2 linked regions of the Callithrix jacchus genome follow. The protein of the gene in region 2 purifies or fractionates together with the protein of the main gene of each other region. This does not show direct contact. Links are inferred from orthologs where the notes say so. Each region holds a gene or a part of one and is shown on either strand. Other genes may lie near its edges.

Region 1 (3,745 bases), about 96 Mb from region 2:
TGCCTGGCTAATTTTGTATTTTTAGTAGAATGGGTTTCAGCATGTTGGCCAAGCTGGTCTCGAACTCCTGACTTCAGTTGATTCGCCCATCTCAGCCTTCCAAAGTGCTGGGATTACAGGCATGAGCCACTGCGCCCGGCCAGCATTTGTTCTTTTCTTCATTATTCACGTCAGGAGCTTGAGTTTCATAATAGTAAGAATAAATGCCTAGGAAAAGGCCTGCAGTTTCTCCATTTCCTCAGTAGCGTTTTCCCCAAAGACCAAACCCTCAGGGGAAACTGGTCTAGAGTAGCGACAGCTACAACCTTGTTGTATGTTCAGGGCTGCAACCTTGACCATTCCCGGGACTCAGTTTCCCCAGCTGTGAAATGGCAGGCCCAGGGCATGACATTCGGGCCACTCTCAGTCTCCCACTTCATTTCAGGCGCGCGTTAGCTCTGGTCCAGCCGGTTCCGATGCAGCTGAAGACCAAGGTGCGGCACCCAGGTTACCCTGATCATCGCAGATTCCTCTCCGGGGCTCTGTTCTGAGGCCTCAAAAGTCCTCCTTGTAGATGGGACCAGTCCCTTGTACCCGCTAGGGTCGTTTCGGCAGCAGCAGCGCCTGGTCTCAGTCTGGTACTGAAGTCAGGAGTGGCTTAAGGGGAAATTGTGGTCCTCTGGTGAACCCGAGCGAAGACCCTCTCGCTTTATTTCTGAGATAAAGCGGGGGCAGGAGGAAGAGTCCCTGTTACGATGCTGATCATCATCGAGCTTTTCCTGAGCTCGATGAAATTCTTTAGGTCGCATGATCGAGAGTCTCTCGTGGTCTGCCTGGCCCCAGGCACCTTCCTACGAACCCGGTGTTCCAAAAGGACAAGGCCTGGGGCAGGCGACGTCCTAGCTCGCATTCGAACAGGGCCGCGGGCCAGCAGAGACGCGCGATGCCCAACTCTTTCCGAGAGCACCTCGCGTCCCGAACCGGCGCCTTCAACTCGGGGAAGTCAAGAGTCCGGCAAGAAACTTGACCGCACCCGCCGCCGCGCTCCAGGCCCAGGCAGGGGCTGCTGAGCCGGCTCCCCAGGAAACGTGCTCCAGCGCCCCCGCAGACCGGCGGCCTCCCGGGGACCCCTCGGCACCTGCGGCCTCCGAGGAAGGGTCCGCGCGCACTTCAAGCCCGCCCCCGCCGCGCGCCCGGAGCCGCCTCCCTGGGAGAGCGTCCGGGGCGTCCCCCCTGGGGGCGCGGGAGGCCCGGGGGCGCTGCCCGGTGGCCGCCGCGCCCGGAGGCCGCACCGCCGGCGGCGGCAGCAGCGCGGCTCCCCCTGCTCCGTGCAGCTGCCGCCCGGCGCTTGCGCACTGGGCCCAGCGCGCGGCGGCCCCAGGCTTTGTGTGTGTGTGTGTGAGTGTGTGTGTGAGTGTGTGTGTGAGTGTGTGCGTGTGAGAGTGCGAGTGTCTGTGCGCCAGTGAGTGAGCGGCGGGCGGGCGCGAGTGTGGCCGCCGCGGAGCGCGAGCAGGACCCGGCGGGCGCGCTCCCCAGCCTCCGTCTCCCCGCCGGAACCATGTCGGGCAGGTCGGTTCGAGCCGAGACCAGGAGCCGGGCCAAAGATGATATCAAGAGGGTCATGGCGGCGATCGAGAAAGTGCGCAAATGGTAAGCGGAGGCGCCTGCCGCCCGCCGCCTCCCCGGCCGCCCCGAGCCCGAGCGCGGCTCCAGAAAGCCGCGGGGCGCAGCGCCCGGGCCGCCTGCCCCGGCCCGGCCCCGCCGCGGGCCCCGGGACTTGGCTAGGGCGCGCGGGCGGGCGGGCGGTGCGCGAGCCGGGTCACCTGCGCCAGGCGGGGGCCGCGGCCGCTGCCCAGGTGCGCTCGCTCCTGTCGCCCACCTGGCGCGGCGGCGGCGGCGGCCCGGAGGCGGCGGGCGCCGGGGCCGGGCGGTTGGAGCCGCGGGCAGCCCCCACCGCGGCGCTTGGCTCCCGGGAGGGGGGCTCGGGGCCGGCCCCAGAAGCCATTTCGTTTTGTGCAAGTCACATGAAAGCGGCTTCCCGCGCGCCGGGGCCGTGATGCCGGCGGCGGCGGGGAGAGCGCGAGCTCCATTGTGCAGACTCCGAGCGGGCCGCCGCCGCCGTCTCCTCCCCGCGCGCCCTGGCCCGCGCCCCGCCGCTCTCCGCCGGCCCCGGCCCGCCCGGCTGCCCGCTCCCGCCTCCCGGGCCCGGCGCCCTCGAGTCTGCGGAGTTTGCAGAGCGCGAGCCGTTTAAATTTAGCGCTTTGGGCTGCCTGGAGCGAGAGCTCTCGGCGACCAGGAAAGATGGGGGCGAGCGCCGGGAGCCAGCGGCCAGGGGCGCGGGGCGCCCACGTCCCACCCCGCTCTGCGCGGCGCCCGGGGCGGGGGGCTCGGGCCAGCAGATGTTTTTGGCCAGAAGCCGTTGGTCCTGGGCCGCGGCTGCCTTTCCACACCGCGAGCTCGTGTTTGTTTTGCGGAGGGAGCCGTTGTTTTTGTTCTCTGCACGGGGGTGAGGAGGACTCGGCGGCTGTCGCCGCCGCCGCCGCGCGTGGTTTTCGGTCTCCGGTTAGCGTCCGCCCGGCGTGGCCGGGTAGTCATTTAGGGGATCGAACCTCTCCGCGGCCTCGTCCGGGTCTGCTCGGAATCGTCCTCTGGGCCAGGCCCGAGGCGCCAGCAGATCGCTAGGTTGGGTCAGACTTGTTGAAAACTCCCCGCTCCCTGATTTCAACTTTATTATTTTTTTCCCACGCCTTCACCGGGGTCTGGGAGGGAGAAGAGCCGCTGCGATGCTGGCCCCGAGTGTCAGCGCCCGCGGGCTCGTCCCGACCCTTTATTTCGAGCCTGGAAGCCGGGCAGGCCCCTTGGCAAGGGATGTTTACGTTTAGGGGTGTCATTTCTCAAGTAGTGCCTCGGTCTCTAAAAGCCACTGGGGGCGAGCCTCCGGTGTGGCGGTGTCACAAGTTAGCTGTCCCTTCTGAGTCAAACCCAACAAAAAAGGCAAGAGGAAAATCAATAAAGTCCACGTGCTCTCGGGCCTCCTATGGAAAGGGCTGGCTGCGATGGCCGGATGCCCGGCCGTGGGCTGGGTTTGACTCCAGTGGGACAAAGAATTTTCAGAACCGGGAGAAGGGGAGGCTTTCCAAAGTTGAGATCCAAGTCGTCGATGTCTCGGGAGCTCCCCTGGTGCGCAGGGCGCCCGGTGCCCGACTGGAGCCATTTAAAAATGGCAGAAACAGCTGCAGGCCAACACACACACACTAGAAAGCAACCCGCAGCCCCCTCCACTGTGGGATTCCCCGTGGGAACCCTGAAGTGGCTCCCCTCCTCGCCTCAGCCCCTGTGCAAAGAAAGAACTGGTGTGTCTGTGCCTGGGTCCCTTCTGTCGCCGGCCTGAAGGTTGGGAAGCAGCCGGCAAGCCGCCTTTCTCTGCTTGGGGAGGCGTGGTGGGGCCTCCTGCCCCAGGTTCCCGGCAGGGCAGAGGCTCCTGCACTCTGACAGCTGCTCCCGCAGGGCGGCCAGCTGCTCTGCAGGGAGGGCAGATGGAGAGATGGGGCTTTCCACCCCGCGGGCCCCAGGGTGGCCAGCCTGGAGGCCTTCCAGCCCACTGAGCCCACGGGGACCAGGCCTGTAGTTGGGGCTGAGGGAGGCGGGGCTGCGCCTCTACGCCTCCCTGAGTTTGGGGAAACATCACATCGTGTCCTCTGAAGACCTCAGGCGTTGGGATCTCGAGGTCGGGCTTCCAGTTCACTTTCTTGCCGTGACCTTGGGC
Region 2 (3,745 bases):
TGTATCGCATACCAACAGAATAAGAACTTTGTCAAATAAGCAGTCAAAAAAAAGAAAGAGGGAGAATGAAAGAAAATCCAAAGTATAGTATCCCACTTCATAGCATCCCCATTTTCCTAGAGATATAATAATCATTTTGAACGTTTTTAAGTCACTGGAAATTCAACAAAAAGTAATTCTCAAAACAATCCTGGTCACCTAAGGCACCAACATGTTATGCCATGCATTCATATTCTACTGAAAAACCTATTCAATGTCACTGTTCCAAACAAGAAGTTTCATTTAAAAAATAAAATCTGAAAGTCAGAATTTTTTAAACCAAAGAAGTTTCCAAAACAAAGAAAAAAAAATTTTCCCAAAGATTACAGTTTCATTAACTATCTTAACTCTTTTACTAAGCATCACCTTTCTTCCATTCAGTGGATATCAAGCGATCAATAACAATGTCACAAAAGAATGTTTACCAAGATGGGGGGTGGGGTGTCACCTGTAATGATTTTGTATGAAAAACGTAAACGATCCTAAAATTGGTAAGAAAAACTTGCACCTTCCTACAATCTCACTTTATTTATATTAAATGTGTCTTAGTCTAAAATGAACAAGAGCTTAGAACTGTTTGGTGTGCAAGGTTTGCTTTTGTTTTTGCCAAAAACAAATCTCTCCATAAGTCCCTTATTTCCAAATACTATGGAAAAGTCACTACTACTCACCGCAAGTAATACTGTTTTAAAGCAAAGGCAGCGTTAGAACAACTTCTGGGAAAGTTGAACTCTTCAACAATTTCTCCCCACTGATTCTTCTCAGAGACCTGGTAAAACACAGGCACACTTGTCTGAAAGTGAACAATCTAAAAAAACCTTTACCTAACTGAAATAAATACCCATTCTACAGAGATCTGTAGATACCTAAGGCATCAATGGTTGTTTCTGATCGATCGGTAAGGTAAGAGTTACTAAGCAAGCAAGGGCGTCTTGAATCACTGTTTTCACCAGACAGCCCTGTATTTAATACCACTTGTTTTGTTTGGGGGGGATTGGTGGGTTTGTTTTGTTTTTGAAGCCGGGACAATAACCAATCGCAAGTCCCTCTGTCGCCCCCTTTTAAATCTCAACGCGGTCCGTTTACACTTAAAAAAAAAAAAAAAAAAAGTTCAAAAGGATCAATACAGTTCCGGACAGCGACGTCCGCGGGTTCTGGGGGGGCCGGGGCCGGGGCCGATTCCGATCCCTCTCCCAGATCTATCCATCTCCATAGGCCCTTCTTTGAGGCCTACAGCTTCTGCCTAGCCTTGAAGCCTAAGATGGCTATTTGGAGACAGGTCCTGGTTTCTTTTGTTAGCTGTATAAACCGAGGGCGACGGGGCCGAGGCTGTGCCCCCGGCTGCCAGGATCATTTCGCAGCCGATTATCGATGTTAAACCTGCCCGCGCTAATTTTGAGTTGCACGAAAACTGCTCTGAGTCTGTGTGTCTCTGTGTCTCAGCCTGTGCTAGAGCGGCAGCGGCGGCAGAGCTGACGAGCGAGCGAGCGAACAAGCGAGCGGGCGGTGCGGGCGCGGGGCTCCGGCTGGCGCCCCGCACGCCCGCACTCTCCGCCGCGGCGCTCAGACCCCGCCGGCCCAACTGGGCACCGGGCAGGGCGCTAGCCGGCGCCGGGCCGCCAGCCCGCGGGAGCCCCGCGCCCGCCGCGCGCACGCGAGCCACCAGGCCAAAAACAGCCCCGCCGCCGTCCGCCTCCGTGCCACCGGCTGGGAGCGAAAAGAACGCCTTTTGCCCCCGCGGGCCACCCCCCCAGCCCCAAGCGCCCACTCTGGGGTCAAAGGAGACTTTTTGGAGGAGGCCAGTGAGAGGGAAATACAAATTAAAACTTCCACTCACCTTCGCGAATCCGCCTAAAGTAGTGACTCTGGTGTAGAGACCGTGAAGATCCAGCTCCTTCCCACCCACCGCAGGGATTTTTTTAAAAGGCGACCTGCGGGAGAGAGAAAGACCCGCACTTGTCAGCCGGGACCCCGCGCCCGGCCCGGGCGGGAGAGCCCCGTTCGCCCCGGCTCGCCCCGGCGTTGCCCCCCCGGTTCTGCTCTCACCCTCTGCTGTGGTGGAACTGCCGCAGCTCGTCCAGGAAAGCGAGTCCCTTTCTCCGCTCGTCCGGAGGCGCCTTCCCCGTCGAGTTTGCCATTATTTTTTCAAAGGAGGTTTTTTAAAAACCCAGATCGGTGTTTTAAAAGCGCCCCCCGCTCCCAGCGCTTCCTACCAGAGCCCGGAGCCCATTCCTCGGCCGGCGGCGGCGGGGCTCAGTCACGGGCCGGCGGTGGCGGCGGCGGCGGCGGCGGCGGCGGCGGCGGCGGCGGCGCAGGGAGGGAGGGCGGGAGGGGGAGGAGGAGGAGGAGGAGGGGAAGGAGGGAGCAGGAGGCCAGGGGGAGAGGAGGGAACGAGGGAGGGGAATTTCTAAAAAAGTTTAAAGAAATCGGAGCGAAACTAGAGGGGCAGGCGACTGCCGGATCCGCGCGAAGCCGCGGGGCGAGCGCGGCCCCCACCCCTTCCTTCCCTCCCTCCCTCCCCGCGGCCCGGCTCTCGCCCGCCTCTCAGCGCCGCCGGCTGAGGTGGCTTGGCCCGGGTACGCGATTCAACATGGTGCTGCTGCCGGGGGCGCGCGAGCGGGCGAGGGGCAAGGCGAGCCAACGGTGAGGGGTCGGGGCGGCCGGAGGCCCTAGAGTTTCGGCGGCGGCGGCGACAGCGGCCGGCCTGGGGCAGGCGGGGCTGGGGGTGGGGAGGGGGAGGTCTGTGTGGTTTGTAGAAAGCGGGGTGACAGCGTGTATTTCGGCCCAGGCTCCGCGGAGCCCTCGCACACATTCACGCGCGGCCTCGGCCGCTGAGGCCGGGGCGTCCCCGGGCAGAAGCACCGGCGGCAGCTGAGCCGCTGCGCGCCGCCCGCCGCCCGCCTGCTTCCCTCCTCGTCAGCCTCGGTCTCTGCCGCCGCCAGCGCCGCCGCCACGGCCGGGCAGCTAGTGCCGCACAGCGACCCCCAAAGGCCGGCCGCGGCACTGCGCCTGGCTCCACACCGCCCCGGCAGCTCCTCGCGGGGAACAATAGACTCGGCTCGCCGAGCTTAGGGTTCGTCTGCAATGTGCCGCACATTTCACACGCACACAAAGCCGGCGGAAAGGGGGGCGGCGCGGGGGAACGGCCACTACCGGTTGTTCCAGGGTTAGGGGTGGAGGCGATGTTCGCGTCCCTGGCCCGGCTGTCGGAAGGGCCGCCTCGGAGTCCCCGCCCGCCCAACAAAAGTGGTGTGGCGCTCTGGAGGGAAAGGAGGCTTACCGGGGCAGCTCACGCTACGCAACATTCACAAATCGGAATAAAGTCAATTTGTTACCTTCTCTTTTTGTAAAGTCTAAAGAAATTGGTTTTTATGAGCCTTATGCTAGTATTTTGGGGCCTGGTTAGCACATTTTCTATGAATTATCCACACGCTATCTTTAGCAAACTATACGTTAAATATAATGTGAACTGTCTGTCCTAGTTCTGTGGAAAAAGAGTAATGCTTATAATTCATCTTGCCTCTGGTTGGCTTCACATATCAAACTGGATTATTCTATTACCAAAGTTATGCAAACTAAACTGGTTAGCAAGCAATCTCCAACTTCGACAATAATTAACGTTTACATTTTTATAGTAAGGTCTCCTAAAGATTACTGCGTTTAAAATAAATATCGAATAAAATGTTTTTCCTTGCTTTCAAATGTC

What was found. The genes of interacting proteins can lie anywhere in the genome.
Region 1: the proteins of ARID2 (region 2) and BCL7A purify together in Homo sapiens (affinity purification with mass spectrometry; 3 studies listed by BioGRID and IntAct, counting the BioPlex papers as one, with this or other methods). This does not show direct contact. The link is inferred for Callithrix jacchus from reciprocal best matches to the Homo sapiens genes ARID2 and BCL7A.

What each region holds. Positions count from the first base shown.
Region 1 is NC_133510.1:125,227,696-125,231,440, forward strand, and holds the start of BCL7A (B-cell CLL/lymphoma 7 protein family member A), read left to right. Parts: upstream 1-1,365; 5' UTR 1,366-1,537; coding exon 1,538-1,629; intron 1,630-3,745.
Region 2 is NC_133510.1:29,645,720-29,649,464, forward strand, and holds the start of ARID2 (AT-rich interactive domain-containing protein 2), read right to left. Parts: upstream 2,306-3,745; 5' UTR 2,178-2,305; coding exon 2,086-2,177; intron 1,971-2,085; coding exon 1,877-1,970; intron 1,709-1,876; exon of another isoform or gene 906-1,708; intron 809-905; coding exon 711-808; intron 1-710. UniProt on the Homo sapiens protein: Involved in transcriptional activation and repression of select genes by chromatin remodeling (alteration of DNA-nucleosome topology). Required for the stability of the SWI/SNF chromatin remodeling complex SWI/SNF-B (PBAF).